Drosophila melanogaster: one gene and its partners. The gene in region 3 interacts genetically with the main gene of each other region. Each region holds a gene or a part of one and is shown on either strand. Other genes may lie near its edges.

Region 1 (7,690 bases), on a different chromosome or scaffold from region 3:
AGCGTGAGCGTTTCCTCACGGGATCCCGTTTGCGTCTGGCGTTGCAGGCAGTGATAGAAGTGCTCCAACTTCAGCGGAAGGAGTTGCAGCTTGGGGAACTTCTTTACCAGCAAGTTTGTGGCCTTCAGCACGGCCATCAGGCTGGGATTGTTGCGCTGCAGAGCCTCAATTATGGCAGTGGTGCATTTTTCCTCCAGCAGCGCAGCATCGAGACGCTTCCAATGGTCGGTGAGCAGAATGGATTGGAGCATCAGGAAGGCAGTGGGTTGCTCGCTGGTCAAACGCTGGAAAAGATCCGCGAAGTGCGAGTCTTGTAGTTCGTACTTGTGCACTATGTGGTAGTACACACGGAAGCTAATGTTCAGGGCGGCTTGATTGGCACCACTGCACGTGTCCGCCTGCGCCGCCTCATCCTCCTCCGTCTGTATTCGTTGGGCCAGCTGCAGTGCGGCATCCTCCGGGCGGACATCTCCCAGGCCCTAGAAAGAACACAATATGTTACACCTCAGTCCCCGTGCCGTACTCAATTCACCTGCAGGTAGCAGAGGCAATCGCTGGGTCCGATTTTTGGCCGTTTTCCCGGAGATTCCGACATGCCCAATCTCAATTCTCACAACTTTCGTCTTACCACAACCAGGGCTCCACAAAACCGGCCACTGCGCTACGATAATTGCGCGGTAATCGATAATCGATGGCTTTTCGTTATCTAAAAACTTGAAACGCCCAACCGTTGTTGATTAAAAATTATGTTTCCAATTAATGTGACATATAATTTTTATATTTATCATTTATAGCGGTACCAAGTACTTCGTTTAGAGACTCAGTGTTTAAAATTTTCGTTATATTTTGTGAGGGATGGCTGTCTGGTAATGTTAACTAGGTACAGGGTACTGTATTCTGTTTTCTTTTACAGCGTTTTTAAATATTAAAAAGATGATAAATTTTTTTTTTTTTTAATAAACTTTATTAACAACAATCTTTGAATATAAAGCTTTCACAAAGCAGCTGTTTGATACAACCGATAAAATTAATTCGATAGCAGAAATTGCAGATCCGTAAGTTCAAAAGTTTTCTTGACAACCACAGCGCGTACAGGAAACGAGAAAAATATAATATTTTAAAGGTATTTCATGCAATCGATATAACAAACCGAAGACCAAATTGGCTCTTTGTTTTTTCAAGTGAGTGCTCCCTACAAAGTTCGTTATGATAAGAAAATGCATGTGTTTGTGCTCTTGGATTCAATGCTTGCAAGGTTTGCCTCGCGTTTTGTTTATTTATTTGCATACATGAAATTCAGATAAACGTGTGGATTTTCCTAGAACTGGTGCCATGCGTAATTAATGCAAATGCTTTCCGCATTTCCCAGCGTCGTGCTGCTCATCCACAGAGAATAGCTGCAGCCGATTTCAAGTTTCCTGTTCTGGCATCGCTCCCAGTTCGAAAACTCCAGCTTCCCCGCAACCCATCTTTTCGGTCCGCCCAATACTTGTAAATCTAGTTTCGACTGACTTCAGCACATGGCTTTCAGATGCGATACGAGATACAACCTATTCGCATTCTCGGCATCTGCCACCCCGAAAATTTCAAGGAAGCTCGGCTGAATGCGAATTTTTTGAACCAGTATTCAGCAGGTCGCCTATGTACTCGGTGTACATGGAGTTCTTATGCCGCAAAGGGGTAGTTTCTCACCTGTAAGAGGATTCACGAAAACCTTGTTTACCACACAGCTTGGCAGAAGCTCGATTTCCTACTGAGAATCCAATTTACAGTAGTCTCCCGTCGACAAGAACCTGAAATCGAATACCCAAAGGCCTAAGGTAATTCGATATCTTTGCTATTACACAAAAAGCAAGTTATTACAGTCGAGTGCGATTATCTGCGTTCACTTTGCTCTGACTACAGTGCGCACCAAAAGTAATCTCCCACAAGAACTTTGAAATGCTATAGTTAAATCCGTTAAGCCGTGAGTTTCGCTTTATTTTTAAATACTATTGCTCAGTTTCTAAGCTCAGTTATCCAACGGGCTTAAATCTCCAAAGTTTCAAACCTTTGAGCTAACACTCTTAACTTAATCTGCAATATTGAATTTAAAGATTATAGATAGTCTGAAACTTTCCGTTAGAGTCTTCTTCACTTCACGGAGAATGGCAGACGAGCGGAAAACAAAACTTGAAAAATCATTATACTCGATTTCAACATGTGTATACTACATTAAAACTGTAGCTTTTTGCAGTTTTTATTTGCTGTGTGTGTGTGTGTGTGTGTGTGTACGCGCGCGAACCCATAAATTTATATATTCCCCGAAATAACCCCGTTCTTAAAAAAAGAGCGGAATAAAAACGTAAATGGCAGCGAAAGAAGAAAAGGCGAAATAAAAAATAATAGGCAACTGTCTCTCCGGCAATCTCTCGCAATCTCAAAAACAACTAGCGACCATAACCATTATTTGTACCTTCCGAATACGAATACGAATACAAGTACGAACACGAATATATAACGTCGTAGCGCACACGCACACCAGCACAGGTGGCCGTTTATATAGTTGGGTTTTTGTAGGCCCGTTCGTCGCTTTTTCGAGTTTTAAAAATTAGTATTGAAATCGTCGTTAACGGCGACGGTTTGCCTCAGTTTTGACGCTTGAAAACGGTCGTATTTTCCACTCTCTCGCCGCTCTCTCGCTGGTAAGTGTGTGTGCAGTGAGCGAGCGCGTGCATGTGTTTGTGTGCAAGGTGTTGCTCTGCTTGGAAATAAATAAATAGTTCAAGTCGAACGAACTATTTGAAACTAATTGGCAGGCATGTGCATTAAGTTATCAACCGTTGCCATTAGCCGATTAGCGAAAAATGCCAGACAAAATATCACTTGTCAATAATGGATGTTAGTCACTGTGAAGGAAAGTTACGTTCTGTTTCTTTTTCTTGAAAAATTCTCAACTGCACATAACAAGCGTAAATTCGTTCGTCCCCGTCCGTGTGTGTGTGTGGGTGAGCCGAGCTGTGGCGAGAGCAAGACAGCGAGTTTAGTTCACTCTCTCGGCTCTCGCCAACCCGCACACCACCCCCCCCCCCCTACACCGTGCTCCATCTATTGGCTTATTATCGTATCTTTTTCATTACAGTGCTCTGCAGGCGATTTAAATTAAGTTGGCAATTACATTTCCATCTGGGAATTCAGTGGTTAGTGTGCCAGTTCGGAATTAGTTTGTTAATTGGGGCTGCCAAGGAAGAATCCGCCATGCAGAGCACACATCATGTGATATGTCATTCTGAAAGCTGCTTTTCGAACAACCCCCAACCACTGTGCGAATCTTGGTCGTCGTCGCTGGAAAAATACTCAAAATTTGAGATTCGATTCTAGTTTCAACCCGCCACTATGAATCTTTATATGTAACTTGCCCGCTTTCATTCATACTCGTTGTTCAGTACTGGCGGCGTATCATCCTCCGAATTGTAAGATGCGTAATCGGTTCTTAAATGTGTATTTCTACGCTGTATTCGGTTTTCGGCATTCGACGCTATCTTGTTTACTTGCATTTGGAAATCACTATCTCAAATATGTTCTGTTATTGAGCGTGTTCCACTTGCCACTTTGTCGCAGTGTATCTGTGTGCGGGAGAGTTCGTTTTTTACGTTAGCTTTTTGCTGTCATTCGTTTTGAAATAATCAAAATCGATAAAAAATTATATATATATATACATATAAGTTTCGTCGCTTTAGATTTGTAAGCTCTTTTCGTGCATTTATTTGGCTACGGCGAGCGTGTCGGTGAGCTGCCACCTTTGATGGGTTTCGATTTCGATTTCGGTTTCGGAATGTGTTAAACAGTTGGAAACACGTCAACTTTACACAAACAAATGTGTATGTGCCAGTAAATATCGAGTTGGTGGTGGATTCTGAAGACGAAAACCGAAACCTAACCGAATCCACGACTGCCTAACTTTTGACACAAAAAGTCCAAAACTGGATTTTTTCGTTGGCTCGTAGCCAGCATTTTTTTTTTAAACCATCTGCCAAGTGAATTTCCAGTGGGCAGAAGTATACATATCAAACGGAAGTCGATTTGCTGATTGAGAAGTTAGAATCCGAATCATATTTAATCAAGTTTTTCTGCAGTTTAAAATACCTATGTGATTTATGTAATATAGCCTTCAAATGAAGCGCGTAGCATGCTTTTAGTATAAATAAAATTTGATTACTAAAACAAGATTGAAGTAGTCATTTTTGGGCACAGAATGCCTACTATATGAATATGACTGACAATGTGTCTAAAAACTGAATTTTCGAGTTTTCCAAAACTGGTTATGACATCGGTTGTCAAGTCAATATTTCGTGGTTTTCGAAAACCAATTTTTAAACTAATATTGGAATATTTTCTTGCTTGTTTTCCAACAGCATCGGGAATTTAAGACCTTGATCAAAGGGTGCACCCTGAGAGCCACATCCATGTTAATGCCTCGCTACTTGGATAGCTCCACGTCGTCTGGCAGTCACGGAGCTGCAGGAGCGACCAACAGCTCCTCCTCTCCGCCGACGACGGTGGCCGCTCACACGAAGATGCGGCTGCTAAGTAAAGTGGAGCACAACATGCGTCAGAGCCAAGGTCACATCCAGAGCAACCAGAGCAACGCGAGCGGCCAGGACATCAACCACCTCCTGCACACGGCCTCCACGGGCAACGGCGTGGTGGACGATGTCGACGGACTGCTGACGCCCATGCGCATTAAGGCGCACATGTCGCCACCCTACTCCGCCGGCAGTTCGGTGAAGAGCGATTCCCTCGGCTATAGCCCTCGGCCGGAACGCAACCTGTGGAGCCGGGCCGAAATGCTGGAGATGCTGAGCATCATGCAGAACCTGAACGCCCTCGAGCAGCTAAACGACCGGAACATGAAGAGCGAGCAGGTCTTCCGGCAGATCGAAGAGGTGATGCGCAGCAAGGGCTTCGTGAAGAAGTCCAGCATTCAGATCTGGACAAAGTGGAAGTTCCTCAAGTCCACGTACAACACAACAACGCGACATGGTACGGGTGTGCCCAAGGTGGTGCCGGAGGAGGTTTACCGCGTGCTCTGCCGGATGTTAAGTGATACAAATCATGGCGGCGGCAACAGCAATGTCAACGGCAGCCTTAGTGAATGCGGCAATTCGATGGACAGTTCCAAGACGGCGGGCGATGATAACAAGGAGGATATTCTCGGAGTGGAGCATCCCATATTCGGCTTCCGACTGGGACCCATTAAACCCGAGCCAATTGATATAGGTGAGTGGGATTGTCAAAATGAAAGTATGTTAAGAGAGTCATTACTGAAAACACGTACCATTCTATATTTGCAGGCTATGAGACGACCGAAAAACATGATATGGTGTCCGAGCCCGACATGGAGTCGTTCGACTACGAGGCAGGAAGCTCCCATGCCGACAACGGCGACCAGGAGGATGTGCCCCACTTGCCGTTTATAGTGTCCGTTAAACATGAACCCGACGTGGATCTGGGCATGGACACCACCAACACACCGCCGCCCACAGCGCCAGCCTCGCCTTCACCGCCACCAGTAACTGTGGATGACACCGAAGATGACAGCGTTTACTCATCCACGCCGGTGGCACCACCTCCCCTGCGTGTGGCCTCCTTTGCCAAGGGCGAGTTGCGACGACCCACCCACGGCATACTGCAGATCGACCGCCCGCCACCGACGCTCACCAAGATGGGACAGCAGCAGATACCCAATCCGGGCCAGATGAGCCGGTCCGTGCCGCTTCAGAGCACCAGCAGCATAAACTTTGTCCACCCACACAGCAAGTTAATGTTACCGAGAAGGCAGAATCCGAATAGCAGTCAGTCCGGGCTGCGACTGCCCAGGGATATCAGTGTCCAGTCGACAGGAATGCGTATGAAGACGGTGCCAATGAGGGACACGGGCTACTCGCTGCGTCCGGATCGAATGACTCACGACATCGATCAGTCCACGTCCAGTCCACCGCAGTCGCCGTCCACAATGTCCAGTCTCTTGGGTCGCGGGCCGCCACCGAAGTATCAGATAGCTGGTCAGCAAGCAGGTGCTTCCACCAGCAGGCAGGCCCACATGATGTCTTCCCACCAGCTGACACCGGTGCAGCACCAACAGCTCCAGCCGCGAAAGCGTCGATTGGGCCAAAGTCCGGTGATGGGAATGCCCGTGCCGGTGAAACTGCAGCGCAGCAGTAATATGTACGGCTCAGCTCCGAAAGATATCCGATCTCACCCTGCGGTTGGCGAGGAGAGCAAAAAGAAGTCCAGCGAGGAGGAGACCAAGCAGCGCAGAAAGCGTCAGGACGAGCTGCTGGCCAAGGAACTCAGCCAACTGGCTTCTGCCATGCGCACGGCACAGAAGGAGATGTTGCAAGACTTCTTCCTCCAACAGAAGGAGATCGCACGGCGGGAGCACGTGTTCCAGATGAAGCAGGACTCGTTGGTAATGCGGACGCTGCGCAGACAAACAGATGCGCTGCTGAGAACAGCCAACGAGCTGGTCAGTGGAGTTTCCGAGGCAGCTAAAATGGAGCCCGACGATAAGGAAGGTGTCATTCCCGAAACTCAAATGCCGTTCGAGCCAGAAACCGAGCTTCAGACTCCGGAAAGCGAGGAGGACAATGAAAATGGAGAAGGGTATGCTGGCGATGATGTGCAGGAAACTATGGAAGAGCCAGATTATGAAGACAATGAAGATGATGATTATGAGCACGATGAGGACGAGGAAGACGAAGGCGACTACGACGAGAACATGGCCAATGACAGCGACCTGGAAATGTCCAATCTAGCCATGTCCGAGGGCTCCAACAATGCCGAAATCATTAGCGGAGGGCACTAGATGGCTATCTCCTAACTTCCTAACACATCGCCAAGTATTACCCCAAAAAGACAAACACCATTGTTAATACCGATTCATTCCAATCGCATTCCTTAAGCTATATATACTAACCATATATATATATATATATATTCCTAGAGCCAGACCCGCGCATTGTTAAAAGACTTGATTATATTTAAGCATTAATACATAAATGAAACCTAAAGTAAATTAAAATGTATTTATTGTTCATCAACCGTCTATGCCCCAAAGTGCTGTAAAGTTATTGAAACCACAAAATACTTAGGTAACCATATGATATATATCAAAATATATATGTACCTTGTACATTACATGAACAGAATATGTGTGAATTTGTTCGGGTATCGAAAGTGGGCTTTGAATTCTTAGTTGAAAAATATTCATTTACTATGAATGCAGTTAGAAAAACACATTTTCGAAATCACTGTAAATTTCCTAACACGAAATTTATTAAATAGTATTGCATTAGTTTGGGAAACAAATAAGAATTTACAACTAAACGAAAAACAGAAAAAGTAGAGCGCCCTAAAGTTACGAGAAATCAAACTTACCGCCTAGAGTTCTTGCAAAATTTTGTTATAAACCGAACATGAAATAGTAGCTAGCTTAAAATGACAATCTGCGAGTGCACTAAATTAGTTAATGCCCATTGTGTGTGCTGTGCCTGCGCCTGTCCTGTCCTATGGATTAGTGTACCTATACTCTCTGCTGATTAGCACGATCCGTAAACGCCTAAAGCAAAGTGTTAGCAGCTAGTGTTTATTTTACAATTACCATTACGACAACCCCGCGACCCTGTGATACCACGCCCCTCCTCCTCCA
Region 2 (3,508 bases), on a different chromosome or scaffold from region 3:
GGTTTTTTTTATACAATTTTATATGACACAGCTTTCTATGTTTTATATACTCACAAACTAAGTATAGGATACGTATGTATGTAGCTTCTAGCATAAGCAAGCCAAGTATGCAAGTATTGGAAGCGTGTAAACACGCATTATTTATTACATGTATTTACATACGATTAATGCTCTTGAATGCAGGCACACACTCGCTTAAAGCTCTTTGTTGCAAAACTCCCGACTATGTGCCTCATACGGAACGAGTACTTATACACAGTGAATAGAATAATCGCCCATTATTACCCTTGATTTAGAACTCCCCAATGGTATGTCCAGATTTTCTGCAGCTGCGGAGGCTAACAAACTTCAATGTCGGAGATATGCCAAGGTTTTTTGTCTATCCCACGCCAAGGTGTTTGATAAACCACTACTCTTAATATGTATATGTTTGCAATCTCTCTCTCCTTAAACGATACCCAGTGTTATATATGGAATGCGAATAAATGGTTATTACGCCCTAAAATCAATTGTACAACTCAGCCAGTTAACATTACACAGTATAGCTTTTATTGATCAAAAAATGCGGATTTACTTAAAAGTTAGGAATGAAGTGAACGTGGGAAGATGAGTGGTGACGATGCGGGGACATAAATATGAGGAACACAGCTGACTTATGTCTCGTTGTCCTCGATCTTGGGTGCCAGGTAGTAGCGAATGTGACCCAGATCCTTGATCGCATACTCGACTACCAGCGGAACATCTGCGCACATCGACAGCTGCACTTGGGTGGACAATGGCGTCGCCTTTGTGAAGGCGTTCAGGTAGCGACAGGCAAATGTCAGCGTCACCGGCTCCTGCATCTCGATGATCACCGCCTCCTCCTCCTTGTCGACAGAGCCGGTTTGGGCTAGCTTAATGTTGGCGGTGCCCACATCGCCGCTGGCCGAGAACTTGACGCCCTCCTTGGTGCAGCAGATCACAACGGATTCGCTGAACTGCGCCAGATCGCGGCAGATGCGAGCGAACTCCATGGCCGGCATGCGGACCACGCACGAGAAGTCTGTCTCCGGTATGCCCAGGTGCTCCTGGTCGAGGTTCATCAGTTTCATCTCGTAGTCCGATACCTTCTCCTGGTTAGCCGATTCGAACATGATGGTGACAGTGTCGGCGTTATCCTGCGCCTTCATCGTCACATTGTCCTCGTTGTTGGCGCATTTCAGAATCTTGGCCATGCTGCCCAGATTCATGCCCATGGAGAGATTGCGGTCGCAGCGAAACTTGTCGAAGCCATCGGAACGCAGGGTCAGCGAGACAAGCGACACATGGGAGTTGTCCATGGCCTGTAGCTGTAAGTTGAACAAGGTGTTAGGGATATGCATTTAAAATCTTTTTTGTGCAATTTTTACCTGAATGCCGGAGTCGCTGCAATCGAAGGTTGCCTCATTGAGCAGATCCTTGATGGCATCCAAGATCTTCTTCAGGATGGTGGCTTGACCCAGGCGTGCCTCGAACATATTGAATGTGTTTTATTATTTAAATACTGATGACGGGCTTAAGAATTTAACAGCAGTAATGTTACCGCGGCTGTGACTTTGGGATGAATGATTAACGTGGGCTGTTTTTTTTTTTTACTTTCAGGCGGGCTAAATGAGCGGGATAGGGATGTGAAAAGCCACGGGCGATATCGACTGAATCTATCGATAGCAGCCAGCGAGCGGCCTGCCAACTGGTTTGATTAACATATTATGTTCACACTTTTTACAGAGTATATTTATTTCAAACATTAAAATTAATAAATTATTACAAAATGACAATACATTAACGCAGACGATTGCTAATAAAAGTGGGAGGAGAGCGCACATTGCGCTTATCTAAGCGGCCTGCAGCTTTAATCATTCCTCGCAGCTCTGCAACTCCCAGACCTGAAATAAATTTACTTTAATGTTACTATATAAATACACTTGATTTTTACTAACCATGCACTGTTTGAGTTTCTTGCACGCCCCTCGAATCCAATTGAGTAAAATAGGCCACCAAAGCGGAGTGTTTTTGCAGTGTAGCCACACAGAGGGCCGGGATCATCGAGGACAGATTGAAATCCTTGTAGGATCTTCGCCTCAACAGTTCCTTTACTAAAGTCAAATGCCCAGCATAAGTGGCCAGTGTCAGGGCATTTTGACCAAAATAGTTCATAGCAAAGATATTTGCACCGAATTCCAGCAGCGTACGAGCGCACTCAAATCGACCCAAATAGCAGGCCTTCAATAGGGCGGTATTCCCGTACATGTCCACATCCTCGAGGTTGTGCTGCTTGCCGTCGCGAGCCATGGTGCACACGATGCGCAGGGAAACGACATCGTCCTGTCCAACGCAGCTGAGTGCTTAAATGCAATGCATTTTTATCAATATTGGAAATTCGCATAGCTAATATAATTTACCATTTATTTCACCCATTCTGAAAAGCTTTCATATAACGGTGCTCTAGGGATGCAGTACGATAAAACGTATTACGAAATGTGGGGAATAAAATATAAAATATAAAGAAACATAAAATATGAAGTTTAATTTTTTAAATGTGCACACAGAGCATATCTAAATGGCACTTTAAGCATTTTCATTGAACAAAAGTTCGGCGCCTTTTGAATTTTTAAATTTGCATTAGTGATGGACCAGAGTGCGCCTAACAGCACACGGCGAACTATTAACAGCACGCGTCCCGAACGTGGCAGGCAATTTTAGGTTTTTTACTCCGCCTCAGGCAGCCACATTAATTCGGCCTTCTTTTCTTTTCCCGTTTCCGGTGAGTGGTGTGCTGCCCATTTGATTTTTCCAAAATTCTAAAACAAAATACCTCTTAATTCTTTACAGTGAGGAGTAAATACGAGAATACAAACGGCAAAATGGTGAGTTACCTCAAATATGTGCGATTCTGAGCGCCAAACGACAAATTTATAGTGAATTGCAAATGCCGTTAGCTGTTGGCAAAAATGGCGTGGTTTATATGCATTATACTAATGTTTTTTCTTTGCATTCTTGCAGTCGCTCGTCATCCCAGAGAAGTTCCAGCACATCCTGCGTATCATGAATACGAACATCGACGGCAAGCGCAAGGTTGGCATCGCCATGACCGCCATCAAGGGAGTGGGTCGCCGCTACTCCAACATTGTGCTGAAGAAGGCCGATGTCGATCTTACCAAGCGCGCCGGTGAGTGCACCGAGGAGGAGGTAAGTTGAGCACGCCCAATCCGTTCGAGACGCACACCAACCTAAATGCCATGTTTGCAGGTCGACAAGGTGGTGACCATCATCTCGAACCCTCTGCAGTACAAGGTGCCCAACTGGTTCCTCAACAGGCAGAAGGACATCATCGATGGCAAGTACTGGCAGCTGACCTCCTCCAACTTGGACTCGAAGCTGCGTGACGATCTGGAGCGTCTGAAGAAGATCCGCTCCCACCGTGGTCTGCGTCACTACTGGGGCCTCCGTGTGCGTGGCCAGCACACCAAGACCACCGGTCGTCGTGGTC
Region 3 (6,346 bases):
TGAAATAATCATTAGTTCCTCCAAAACCGCATCCACGTGCCAATCCGGTTGCTGTTTTCAGAATCACAACATTCACTGATTTATGGATCGGAACGGGGCATTCATAAGGCCTTCATGACAGTCCAAATGCTTTAATGCCACCGCTGGCAGTTTAGTATCCAACTTAGTATTAAATCTTATTAATCAACTACCTGAACATTTAAATATAGTCGACCTCATCCGCCGCCAACAGGTGTTGGGCAATTAAGAACGAGTCGAAAGTTTCGCTGGTATGCATACTTCGAAAATATCATTCATAACCGACTAATCCATTTTAAAGGTCAACGAACTTACTGACTTGAGAAATGAATGGTTGGATCCATACTGACAATATGTAAACTTTGGGACTGCCTTCTGTGTCATCTGTATTCATTGGAACACAGTTGCCATCAGCGCGTTTAATTAACTTATCTGAATTGATTTACATGCATACCAAATTCCAAAGATCGCTCACAGAGTATAAAGGAACTTGAAACCGATGTTCGTTTCTTTACAATTATATATTTCAAGTTGCTTGACATATATACGTGCATGCATATATTTGGGCGTGTTTGCGGCCTGTGTTTGTTTGTTTTGGGTGTGAATCTGGAGTTTATGGAAGTGGAAAGCGGGATTGTTCACCTATCCTTACATTTTACGGGGATCACTAGGTGTTAGGAAGCATCACTATTTCTGAATTGATTTGTGCCGATTTCGGAACTTAATTTTCATCAAATGTTTGTGTTTAAATCGATTTATTTAGTGTAATTGTTGAGTTATCTTGTAAATACATACATTTATTATATTCCAAGTTTCTCACATAAACTCTATGTTTATACATTTTTTGTCGCTTTCATCTTGCAGTTTTGTCTATACTATTACTAAACCTAGATACGATATTTAAGAGGCAACCAAAGAGATCTGGCTTGAGATCCCTGGCAGCCTAGTGCGAAACGGACCGAATGAACAATTTGATTTATTGAATTAGTTTTTTTCCTTTGCTTGGGTAATAAGAAATCTTTCTTTTAGTTTACTGGAGTGTTTAATACATATACTAAATGTAAATATATATTGAAAAGGTTCGTGTGTGTATTTTTCTGTCTTCGTGTTCAGTTGTCTGTAAAGTTGGTTCGGTTGTGGGTGTCAGGGAGTGGGTTTCAAATTGGGGTGTGCAAAAGTCCTCCAGAGATCTTGAGCGTGCCCACAGCTAAAACCTAAAACAAACGAAAAAGTATGAATATCCCAGTTCACGCTGGTGATTCCTTTAACTTACCAGTCCTCTTCGCATGCCAGTATGGTATAGTGGTCATGACCACGCCCCTAGGGCCAATCCTAGTCGGTCTTTGTCTCCGTAAACTCCTCCAGGGCAAAAAAGCTGCCGCCGGAGGGGCCACCAGTGCTGCTGGCCGTGCTCGTGGCAACAACGGTGGTGGATGCCGTGCCACTAGATGCCTCCGACACTTGCACTTCCTCGCCGGCCGAGTCGGCAGCCGCCTCCTTGTCATCTGCACCTCCGGAAGCGCTGGCTGCCTGCTGTGCGGCCTCCAGGACCTGTTGCTGAACCTGGACGATGGGCTGGCCATCTTCCGTGTACGACACGGACACTGGGATGCGGGTACCATCCTCGCTAATGACATGAGCGCCTTCCTCACCATCCTGTCCCTGCTGGATAATTAACTGCCCCTCGGAGTTCAACAGGGAGGCATCGATAAGCTGCTGTTCATTGTTGTCACCATGGACAAGTACCATCTGGCCACTGCCATCGGTCATCATCTGGAGGGTTTCGCCCTCAAGTCCCTCGCCGGACTGCAGAACTCCTACACTTTGGAGCAGCTGCTGTATTTGCTCGGGATCTTGCACAATTATTTGGTTGCCTTCGGCGTCCGTCAGGATGTGGTTGTCCAGCTGGAGGAGATGGCCGTTCTCGTTAACAATGAACTTGATCTGGCCACCTTCCACCTGTGCCTGCATGGCTTCGTCAAGTTCCATGGCAACATGCTCGCCACCTGCAGCTTCACCCGCCTCGCCCTCGGCTCCAGTACTGGCAGTAACCTCGCCTTCGCCAGATTCACCGGCTTCAGCGGTCGTGGCATTGGCCTCCGACTCAGTTGTGGGCGTATCTGTAGCCTCACGCTTAGCAACTACGTCTCCTTCGTCAGATGGTTGTGGTTCCTCAGCAGCGGCGGCTTCCTTTGACTTGGCGCTTTCTCCAGCCTTGGCCTTGGCTTTCTCTTGACCTGCTTTGCTAGCCGTCTTGGTTTCCTCTGAGGCCTCAGCTTCAGCAGCTGCAGCCTCGTTGTCATCATCTAAACTGGGCATGGAAACCGGTGCGGCATTGGATTTGCTATCGGCAGAGGAGGCCTCGCCGCTTTCGCCCTTGGCATCGATGCTGCCCTGGGACTGTGATTCGTCTTCGGCTTGATCCAAATTTGGCATGTCAATGCTAACAGAGACAGGTGCTGTGGTATTGGGCGAATCCTTTTGCGATTGGTCTCCGTCCGGTTGCGGGATAGTAATGTTGAAGGTTATGCCTCCACTGCCCTCCTGCGAGGTAATAACCATCTCGCCGCCTTTGCTTCCCGGTTTGGGCGCCTCACCGCTCTCGTTCTTGTCGGAGTGGAGCTTTTCAAACAGGCTCTCAATGTCGGCCTCTGCGTTTTGCTCGCCGCTCTCGTCACCGGCCTTACCAGTTGCCTCTCCGGGCTCATCGCTTAGTAAAGCCGTAGCTGCCGAATTTAGGGCAGTGGCTCCGGCCGAAGTTGCCTTCTTGTCACGTCTGTGGGTCTCCATGTGGTGGTTGTAGTATGTCTCCTGGATGAAAGTCAGTGAGCAAATGCTGCACGAGAAGAAGCGTATGTTGTTCTCCGACTCGGTGGTTGCCACCACAGCAGCTGTCGAAGCAGGCAGGCTATCGCTCAGTGCCTCATCAATGGTCTCTTGAAGGAGCTTCTGGGTGTTCAGGTTCTGGCTAACTGACTGCTTGGGCGATACCGTCGATGCGGAAGGACTCTGATGCACTTCGAAGTGCTTAACAAGCATCTCCCGTTTCGGGAAGGTCATCGAACAAGTGCCGCACTTGAAGAAGTTGGTCTGATGCTGTTTGGCATGCACAGTAGCAGCTTCGCGCGTCTCAAAGCGCTGAGAGCACAGGCGGCACTTAAAAGGCTTAGGTTTACCAGCGGCATGCTTGCGCATATGCTCATCAAAAACGACCTTGTCCGTTGACTTGAACTGGCAATGATTGCATGTGTATAGCGATGTTCCAACCAGATTCTCGTTGGCAGCAGCTGCAGCGGCAGCTGCAGCAGCAGCCACGGGAGCAGCTGATGCCGGTATGGTGGTGGTGCTGGTCACCAGTACATTGGTAGCGTGATTCGTCTCCATGTGCTTGCGCAGGCTGTTCTCGTTCACGAAGTTAATGTGACACATGGCACACGTGTTATCCATGGCGGTATTGTGGTCGCGCACCATGTGCTGCTTCATGGCCCCAAAGTGCGGGAAGATTTTGCGGCAGGTCTTGCACTGGAAGGTCTGCTGCTTGCAGGTTTCATAATGCGTGTTGAACAGCCGCATATCCGAGGTTTTATAGTCACACGAGGTGCATTTATAAATCTTGGTGGCCTTGCGTTGGACTGTCTGGGTGCCTTGGACGCTGCTCTGGGTGGTTCCTGGGGCGATCTTGGACTGGCCAACTGTACGATTGCAGAATATGCATTAGGAAAGCTTTATAATTTCTGTATTTATGTACTTACCTGGGTTTCCCTGCAGGAGTTTACGTGGACGCAGCAAATCCGCACTAGGACTCTCCTCCAACGAGCGATTGGCGGATCCGCCGACCATTTTCTGCATCTTGAGCGGCGGACTGCCTTCCTGGCCCATATCCTCGTTAATGGCATACTTCTTGTTAAGCAAACTGATGAGGTTCGTCTTGACGCGCTCCACATCGTTTTCCAGGCGGTCGTAGTAGTTCACCAGGTTGGTACAGCGTGAGCACACGTAATCCTCGCCGCAAACAATCACGAGGAAACCCTCGCCCACGAGCTGGGCCAGTTTGTTGGGGAATTTGGTGGAAGTGTGCGTGGTGCACATATCGGTTAGCGAAGTCTGTGGCTCGCAGCGGTCATCGCAGATATAGCATCGCGTGGCTAATCCGCCGATACCCACGCCACCCGACTCTGCATCGTTGACCGCCTGCTGCTGTGCTACGCCGCCAACGGCTGAGGCTCCTCCGGCAGAGGCACCTCCTCCTCCGCCACCACCGGGTACCACCATACGCGTCGACTTGAGGATTCGCGGCTGGCTGGGACCGGTCACAGTGACCGCTCCGCTACTGAGCAGATTGTTAAACTTGCGGTAGGTGGCCGGATTCAGTTGGTTGTTCATTTCGTGGCGTTTTGGATTCAGGTGAGCACGCCGTAGTGATGGTGTTATTCGGTTTGTGCGGGCGCTACACGCGCAACTGCAAGCCGCTACCTTTCAATATTAATCGGCGATTACGACAAACTACACTTCTGCACTCCGGTTTGGCAGCTTGCTGGGATTTATGTATCGATCGGGTACGGATGAGCCACTCGAACGAAACAATCTATCTTTTTTGGACACCAGGAACAACAATCTCTTCCGTTTTTAATTTTCGGTTTCGTTCTGAGTTGTCGCGGCGTCACTTTGACTGTACTAAAGACTCGGTGCTGTATTTTTTAGGGTTAAAAATGCGTATGTGCTGTAGCAGTTCTCGACGGACGCGTATGGTCGTCTCGCTCTTTAGCATGCTCGCTGCCCTGGCACGGCGGGAAAACATGGGCTAGTCGTTTCACTCGCACGCCACGGAAATGGCGGCTGCCTGGGAGGTCAACCATGGTCAGACAGAGAAAATCTCACAGCGTTGCCGTTCATTACGATAACGTAATTATTTACTTGAAATAATAAAGCATTTATTTTTCTTATTGCGATTGCTGAGTGGTTAAATACAAATAAATACTTACTTGTTGTGCTTGTATTTGTAAAAGGTAAATAATTAGCACATTTTGTCTTGAAAAAAGGCTCAGCGTCATTCCTATCATGCAATGTCAAAATTAACAGTGCGTTTTGTAGACAGTAGAGGGCGCCTTTGCCCGCCCACTTTAAATTCACAAATATTCTCCTCGTAAATATTTGGCATACCCAACCTGTGAGGTAAGCATTAAATACTTGCATTTACGCAGTGATAAAGGCCAACATCACTAATGTGCTAATACATAGGACCGATAAGATTCCGAAATTCCAGTTTTACCTATTCGATTTAGGTATATCTTTTAGCCAAAGGAAAGTTGAAGGGAAGGGGGCTCTCTTATCAGTAGCGATAATATAACATACGACCTGATAAACGTTCCAGCCAAACCACAGAATTCAGTTAACGAACGAAACGAAAAGCGAGCGGATACCGCCTCGATCGAAGCGAAACATAAAAAATAAAAGCCCCTGGCCAGTTGGCTTTTTGTTATAAGAGCCATTATCGCAAGGTTTATCGGGAAATATAGTAAACGGGTGGCGAACTCAATTGTCCGGCTCGATCGTTCAGTTGGCCAACAGACGTCGCGTACTGCAAAAGCGCACTCAACCCGATCGATTTGAGTCCCGCATACGGGGCGTGAGAATATCTCCCAGTATCTGGAAACCACCCCTATATATCGAACAGTCACTGCAAAATGTATTCAGCACCAGCGGCAAAAATCAAGCACTTTGGCTCCCTTAAAACGGTAGCAGCTTGGGCCGGAATTCTCGGAGTGGTAAGTCGGCGCTGGCAATTCAATGTTACAGTCTAGGCCGCCAAGCGACCGCGACCCCATTCCCAGCTCATCGATAAGTGATATGGGGAGATGTTCGACCTGACATTGAGCGCACTTACTAAGATTGGATGGTCTCTCCCTATCGAATAGTCCAGTATTCCAACAGTCGGAGAGCTAATCATGATACGAGTATAATACTCATTGACTCATCCGGGACGGCTCCCAAACTGAAGAACTGAGCCGCACCACAGATATCAGATAATGCCGATTGACGTGTGTAAACAAGTGAATGAACAAAAGATCTAGATTGGGACACTAAAAAACGTAAACGTAAATAAGTACATACAAAATTGGATATTTCGCTGGGTATGAATAATATCACGATCTAGAAGCCATCCAACCTCTTTAATGACGGAACACGAAGAACAAACGATAAAACAATTTTATTTAATTAATTTTCAATATAAATATAAATTTAAAAAAACATGACAAACAAAAACCGATTAAAAATAGTGCTCATTTTTATTCAGTGTGGCTCTGACGTTTTGAGAACTCCTCTTATT
Region 4 (6,432 bases), on a different chromosome or scaffold from region 3:
ATACGAGACAAGGCAGGACTGGGCTTTGTTGAGGTTTTAGTAGATACGAGATAATGTTCTACCGACCGCGCGACCTTTGACTAGGAAACACTGATGATATTTGCCTAGCCCTTATCTACTCGGGGGGGGGGGGGGGGGGCCATAGTTGAGTGCATATTAGGGAATTCGGATAAGATCCAATTCGATCCTACCAGCATTAAGGACTGCAATCAAGTGAATACCTTGAGTGCCATCCAATGCCCGCACGTTCCACGACAATCCTTTAGGATCTGCCCTCATAAGCGGGACACTTGAGAACCGCTTTTCCACCTCTTTTCTCAGCCTTTTTTTTTTTTGTTTTTCCGCGTGTGTTGACACAACCCATATAAAGCCAGGATATCCTGCTCGGGAGGAAATTACTTAAAGGGATCACGAACTCTTCCCCTTTCGAAAAACTCCTTCTTGAGTTGTTTATGTTTTCAGGCATGACTGCCGCCGAACGCCAGTAGAATTCTCAAATTTGTTATAAAGTGTGTAAATTCACGTTGCTTTTCTTTTTGAGGGAGGGTGTGTCCCATAAACAGAAAACCGAACCACAAGGGATCGGATCTTATGGGAGTGGAAAGGAACGAATTATGGATGGATGATGATGCTGCCTAATCGAACGTTCGTCAAACGATCTCTGCCTTTTTTGGGGTGATTGCACTCCGTTTTTTCTTGTTTTTTTTTTTCTCGGGTTTTTGTGTGGAAAGCCGATGGGTTTTCCCATTATTTCGTCGAGTGCAAAGGACAAAGCAAATGATGTCTTTAGTCTACGAATCTGACTTCCAAGGCTTTGTCCCAATTCTTTCCTTCTTATTTAATTGGATTTGTTCAAACAATATAAATCTCGTTTTATTGCCTTTGGTAGTGTAATTTAATTTTTTACGATTTTGCACACGAAAGGAAAAAAACTTTATGAAAATGCAGCACGAAATGAGCAGAAAACTTGCGTTTCACAAAGTGAACCATAACGGAAATTTGAAATACCCAGTGCTATGCAAACACCACAAGGAAATTCGAACTAGACGTGCACATTATTTTACATACATACATACATACATCGTACAAATGTATATTTGGTGGACCAGTGCCCCACAATGCAAGCGCGATTTTCCCCTTGGCAACACGAGGAAAGTGAAAAGAATTGGTGCCCCAAATGCCCCCTGCCACTTCCCTCCGACGACTAAAAATCCAGTTTGAGGCCAAACAAACCAAAACCATAACATCGTTTTTTCGTATCTTCCCATCGCAATCGCAACTAAAAGTACAGCTCCACCGATGCAACAACAACCAAGAAGGCAGCGAACAGAACACACGGATGGAAATGGCAGGGATGGGTAGATGGCGTGCGAGAGAGTGGGAGACATATGGTGAGAGAGAGAGAGGTTGTGGAAGTTGTGACGACTTTCTTGATACGCTCTATGAAGGAACCTTGGACAGTTTAAAATATAATTAAATTGGTTATTTCAAAAACATTAAAAATAAAATCTGGTTGAATACTGTTTACAAATGAACTATGGGCTTATGAGCTGTGAATATTATTTGACAGGAAATAATGAAAATAATGATAATAATAATAATAATAATAATAATGAATACGTATTATATATTGTACTATATGATGATTCCAACAATCAATAATTATATTAAAGCTCATAATATCAAAACTTTTAAACTCAGATGCCTTAGTTAAATTTTGTTAGGAAACTTTTATTTTTCTGAGTATTTTTTATACGTTTGCTATATAAGTTTAAAGAACAATTCAAAGGAAGTGCATTGCTCTTTCGATATGATTAACATTAAAAGCGCATTCTTTTTCCCTATCTCTTTCGCTCCTGCTGCTTTTCCGATCTTTTCGAATTCGAGGGTTGCTACAGAGAGAGCGTGAACCGCTCTGAATTTCCAGTTGGCAACGCCTCTGGTGGTTGTTTGACGTTTGCTTTTGCCCAGTGTTTTATTTATCTTTTATTCGTTTCTCCGAGTTCGTCGAGAGAGGTTCGCTTCGATCGGTAGCGCTATATTTAAAAATCTAGTGCGCAGTGCGCTCATAGCCGAAAAGGTTAACAAACATCGCTGTAAAAACGACTTCAAGTTGTAAAGACAAATATAATACAAAGGTGCTGCCATTGGCAGCTAACTCATACAAAAACTCCAACGAGACCCGCAAACGTTTCGTTTTGTGAGTCGACTAGCAGTGCAGTGTGTTCGAATCGCCATTCAAAGATAGTGACCAAGTGCTATTGGACCAAGGCATTTGTTTATAATTATTTTTATAAACAATTGCAGCGTGAAATTTCACTTTTGAACGCAGCAAGACGTAAAATAAGCTGCAGCACAACGCACACACAGAACACTCGCTCTCCCTCTCACATACACACACGCTCGCGTGTGGAGACCGTGATTTGTATTCGTGTGGAGACTGCCTCTCTCTCTTTTGGGGCTGTCTGAACACAAAGTTTTGGCGCCAAAAGTTTGACAGTTCGCTTTGGCGTGTAATTCGCAAACAAGTGGCAAGAAAAGTGCGTCTCAAAACAGAGTAGAAAACACTAGGGGATCCCAAAAAAATATATATTGACTCAACATGGTCAGTGCCCGAGTCCTGAATCCTGTGATGATCAGTGAGTTCTGCAAGATGAGCAGCAGCCCGGCGGTGAGTCGCAATCTGGCATGCGGTCGTCAGTTGAATCGCATAAAGCGTGACCTCTTCGGTAGCTCCAAATCCGCCGAGGGTACAGCCAACAAAACGTGAGTTTCTATAATAACAGTTGGATTTTGACCAATAGCTAACAATATATCCTCTTTAGACCCTTTAATTCCGAACTGGAGCGCCATCAAGAACTGGCCACGCAAAAATGGGGCTTTGACTTCCGCGCCGGCTGCCCTTTAGCTGAAAAATCACCCTACATTTGGGAGCGCGTCAGCTTCCAGGAGTCGAGCTTCGCCCCAGAGATGTACACCCTAACACGGGCCGCCCACGTACGCCCTTCCGCGGATGCAAGTCCTAGCGACATGGACATTTTGGTCAACGAGCGCTCAGAACGGGAGAACTTTGGCTCCAATCTGGTCAATTCCTCGCTAGAGTCGAACACGGATAATGAATCTTGTTACGACTCCCAGGACGAGTCGCTGGCAATGCGGCTTAGCTCCTCCAGCACGACAAGCACATCCTCCATAGTCCTGCGCAAGAGACAGCCAAAAATCACAGGTGAGTTTTGGGGGATGTTCTACACCATTTTGATCAGTAGAGCTTGACGGTTCCCAGGGTCAGGCTTCATTTCACTTCGATAGACGTTACAAAGTGTTTTCCCATAGCTTTCCTTTTATTCCCTGTTTATTTTCGGTTCTCAGGAGGAAGTTGAGGGTGTTTTTTTTTTTTTTTTAACTTATCAGGCTTGTTTTGTAATCGGACTGATACGATATTATTTTTCAAAATTATCTGTAGAGTAGAGAGTATTATCTAAAAATTTCCGAATATAGTGCTCGAGATATAAAAGTAGATTCGTGCTCTTTGTTTTGCAAACTCGATGAAAACGATTTTCATCAATGATTTTATGCCAAACCAATATTTTGTGCAGGATTTTGTACTTACAATACTAAACTCCATAAGGGGTTGTTTGATTGGTTTTAAGTCCACTCCTTCGCATTTATTGTTTATATTCACGTTTTAGTTGTGGGCGTTTTTCGTGAAACTTAGACCCAAATTATAGCAATTAGCCAATGCTTTGTGGGAGATTTATTTTCGTCCAGAAGGGTAAGTCAAAGCTGACTGCAGCTGTTTCAGCTCCTCATCTCCCTAAACCGAATGATTCTCTTCTGATCCTCCACAACGCGGGGGTTGGTTTCCAGATCGATAGCATGCGGGCTGGCTGGCTGCATCTATAAATGCCAACAGCTGTGACTCCGCTTTGTCTATGGCCTGACCTCATTATAGAAAACGGGAGAGGGGTCTGGGGATCGGCTTTCAATGCACCACCATCCAGAGTCCATGGTCTTATCAAACCTCCCTTTGATTGCTTTGTACTGAGCGTTTTTTATAAATGCCACTAGCACATGCATGTGTAATTATAATCATAAAAAAATTGTGTCTGTTCGGAACATAATAAATGCACCCGCATCGGGTGGTCAGTAGGGAAGCCTTTGAATCCCCCAACGCCTCAACTCGCTTTACTTAAAGTGCACTTTTTGCTGCTTTGGCCAGTAAGCTAGAGCTCATAATTTATGCAGTTATGTAGCACCACCACTCTTGCTTTCACCGGACTACCTGAAAACCGGCTAAAGACCGACTGTCTGGCTGCCGTCTGGCATTTATTTGCTACCCCTGTGCGGATCTGCAACCCTCTGGTAGGGAAGTGCTGCCGTCCACGTGCCACAATCTGGGAATCTACCCGAAACCGAAATCAAAATGTGCAAAAACAGAAAAACAGGCGGCGCCTGCTGTTTAGGGATCAGTGACTTGTGAACAGGGGCAACCGGAAATGCAGCAGCTGACTTTGATTTGGCAATTCCACCTAACACGTATTAATAACACTCGTTTTCCTTCCTTTGTTTACAGAATTCATGAAGGAGCGCAAACGTCTGGCCCAGGCACCCAAGAAACTATCGCCCGCAAAGCGCATGCGCACCAGTTCTCCCAGTTCGTCCGCCACTTCCAGCTCCAGCTCCAGCGGTGGATTTGGGTTGGGGGCACACTTTGGGGCGATGTTGAAGCGGCCGCGCCACAACTAATGCTCCAGATTCGCTGGCCAACCCACCGAATTGCAATTTGTAATTTTATTTTTTACAAGCCACTGCGATTGTGTAGTATTTCCTAATTTTTTATTACGAACCTTTTTATGCAGTGCAAGGGCGACAGTTGCGAATATTAATCGTTAGTCTTCAACTACTCGTAACCAGTAATTAGTTGTAAGTCAACCAGTAAGCTCGAGCTAAATGAAACTTTTTAGATTTCTCTAGTGAGAAATGCCATAAACTAAGTGATTAGTTCTTAACAACAAACAACTATTGAACAAGAAGAGAGAGACCGCAAGCTAAATGGAATTAGTCTTAACTATCTTGAAGCCAACCGAAATTTAACCTTTATAACGATGGAATACTAACTTTACATAACTTTGTGAAATCCTTGCAAATTTCGCCGGCAACTTTTGCATTTGAAATTTGCCGGGTGAACAAAACTCATCCTTTCTCTGCCCTGCCACTTCATCCAAGTACTGAAACTGAGGGGAGAGTAGAATTGAGTTTTGTCTTGCATATTAAGGGCGCCAAAACGATGCCCCAATAAGCCGCATTTCGGCTCATTGCTGCTTTGTTTTTGCGACCTACTAACATTGTAACCAATTCGACCAGTGGAAAACAAAAAAAAAAAAGAGGAATGCCTTTGAATTAACTTCGTCAATTTCTGCACGTTTGGATGCCTTATTTATATGAATGCCGCCGAATGGACACAAATTGTCGCGCTCTCATTTCTTAACCAGTGCTAAAAATGTCTTTTATGATTTGCTATGATCTCTGGGCAAATTATGAAAACAATTTTGCCTGAAACTATCATGTACAAAAACTAGATTATTATACATACTATACACATAGGCAGAGCCTATTCTTCATAACACTTATACAAAGCATTAATTTGTAAGGCCTAACTAAGAACAAATCCAAAGTATTCTCCTAATATTTATATGTATAGACACTCTATGTATAATTAAACCATATTCAACTCATACATCAATAAACAAAACAAAAACAACGCGATTGTCCTGTTTCAAAATTACCAACACATCCGCATTACTTTGGTTGTAGACGTAGCAGTAAAATGTAGTTTACTAAAACAATTTTGTACATTTTATAAGTTAATATTTGTTTTTCTGCAATAAATTGTTTTTGATTTTCTAGTTGGTAGTACATAAATCGCGTTTTTAATTTTTAATTTCATTTTTATAAAATATCGTGGGATGCCAACAAAATTCAATCCCGCGTCAATAGAAACGAATCATTGCTTCAGTTTTATTCAATAAATTAATTTGATTTATTGCTTACATCAAGTACATAAATATTAATTTGTTCCATTCGACGCTTTGTAGATTTACCTATGTGCCAATTAGTTGATCTGTACTCTACATACAAATATATATATCGCATATATACAGAGGGCTGTGGATATGGGCACCTACTTGCCCGCCGCCTTCTCCTCCAGCTGGGCTTGAATGTGGCGTACGTTGTGGCCGCCGCCATTGGGGTTGTGGCGCTGGAAGAAGGCGTTGATGGAGCTCATGGAGCGGTACTCCAGATTGTCGCTGACCCGCCAGTCCACGCTGATGCTCTGGTGACGACCCACCGGATTGCGGATGCGGGTCTCGTTGTATTTCTCCAACAAATGCAGCAGGCAATCCTTGGTGGTGTTGGCCGCCTCCTCCAGAT

The links.
Region 1: of pzg (region 3) and mrt, changing one suppresses a phenotype caused by changing the other (phenotypic suppression), as found in Drosophila melanogaster (one study listed by BioGRID).
Region 2: of pzg (region 3) and PCNA, changing one enhances a phenotype caused by changing the other (phenotypic enhancement), as found in Drosophila melanogaster (one study listed by BioGRID).
Region 4: of pzg (region 3) and dap, changing one suppresses a phenotype caused by changing the other (phenotypic suppression), as found in Drosophila melanogaster (one study listed by BioGRID).

Annotation. Positions count from the first base shown.
Region 1 is NT_033777.3:27,276,747-27,284,436, reverse strand, and holds mrt (martik), read left to right. Parts: upstream 1-1,775; 5' UTR 1,776-1,820; intron 1,821-2,589; exon of another isoform or gene 2,590-2,684; intron 2,685-3,406; exon of another isoform or gene 3,407-3,452; intron 3,453-3,725; exon of another isoform or gene 3,726-3,860; intron 3,861-4,007; exon of another isoform or gene 4,008-4,076; intron 4,077-4,394; 5' UTR 4,395-4,445; coding exon 4,446-5,259; intron 5,260-5,333; coding exon 5,334-6,847; 3' UTR 6,848-7,188; downstream 7,189-7,690. Other genes in the region: CG3368 (uncharacterized protein), read right to left, coding at 1-479, 533-595.
Region 2 is NT_033778.4:20,261,226-20,264,733, forward strand, and holds PCNA (proliferating cell nuclear antigen), read right to left. Parts: upstream 1,659-3,508; 5' UTR 1,497-1,658; coding exon 1,389-1,496; intron 1,329-1,388; coding exon 654-1,328; 3' UTR 529-653; downstream 1-528. Other genes in the region: plu (plutonium), read right to left, coding at 1,801-1,904, 1,959-2,363, 2,421-2,436; RpS18 (ribosomal protein S18), read left to right, coding at 2,883-2,885, 3,022-3,207, 3,268-3,508. UniProt on the Drosophila melanogaster protein: Likely to be an auxiliary protein of DNA polymerase delta complex and is probably involved in the control of DNA replication and repair by increasing the polymerase's processibility.
Region 3 is NT_037436.4:21,284,492-21,290,837, reverse strand, and holds pzg (putzig), read right to left. Parts: upstream 4,740-6,346; 5' UTR 4,402-4,739; coding exon 3,771-4,401; intron 3,711-3,770; coding exon 1,351-3,710; 3' UTR 1,292-1,350; intron 1,233-1,291; 3' UTR 528-1,232; downstream 1-527. Other genes in the region: CG12974 (uncharacterized protein), read left to right, coding at 5,703-5,783.
Region 4 is NT_033778.4:9,710,338-9,716,769, forward strand, and holds dap (dacapo), read left to right. Parts: upstream 1-1,983; 5' UTR 1,984-2,602; coding exon 2,603-2,766; intron 2,767-2,825; coding exon 2,826-3,226; intron 3,227-4,573; coding exon 4,574-4,746; 3' UTR 4,747-5,919; downstream 5,920-6,432. Other genes in the region: sqa (spaghetti-squash activator), read right to left, coding at 6,182-6,432.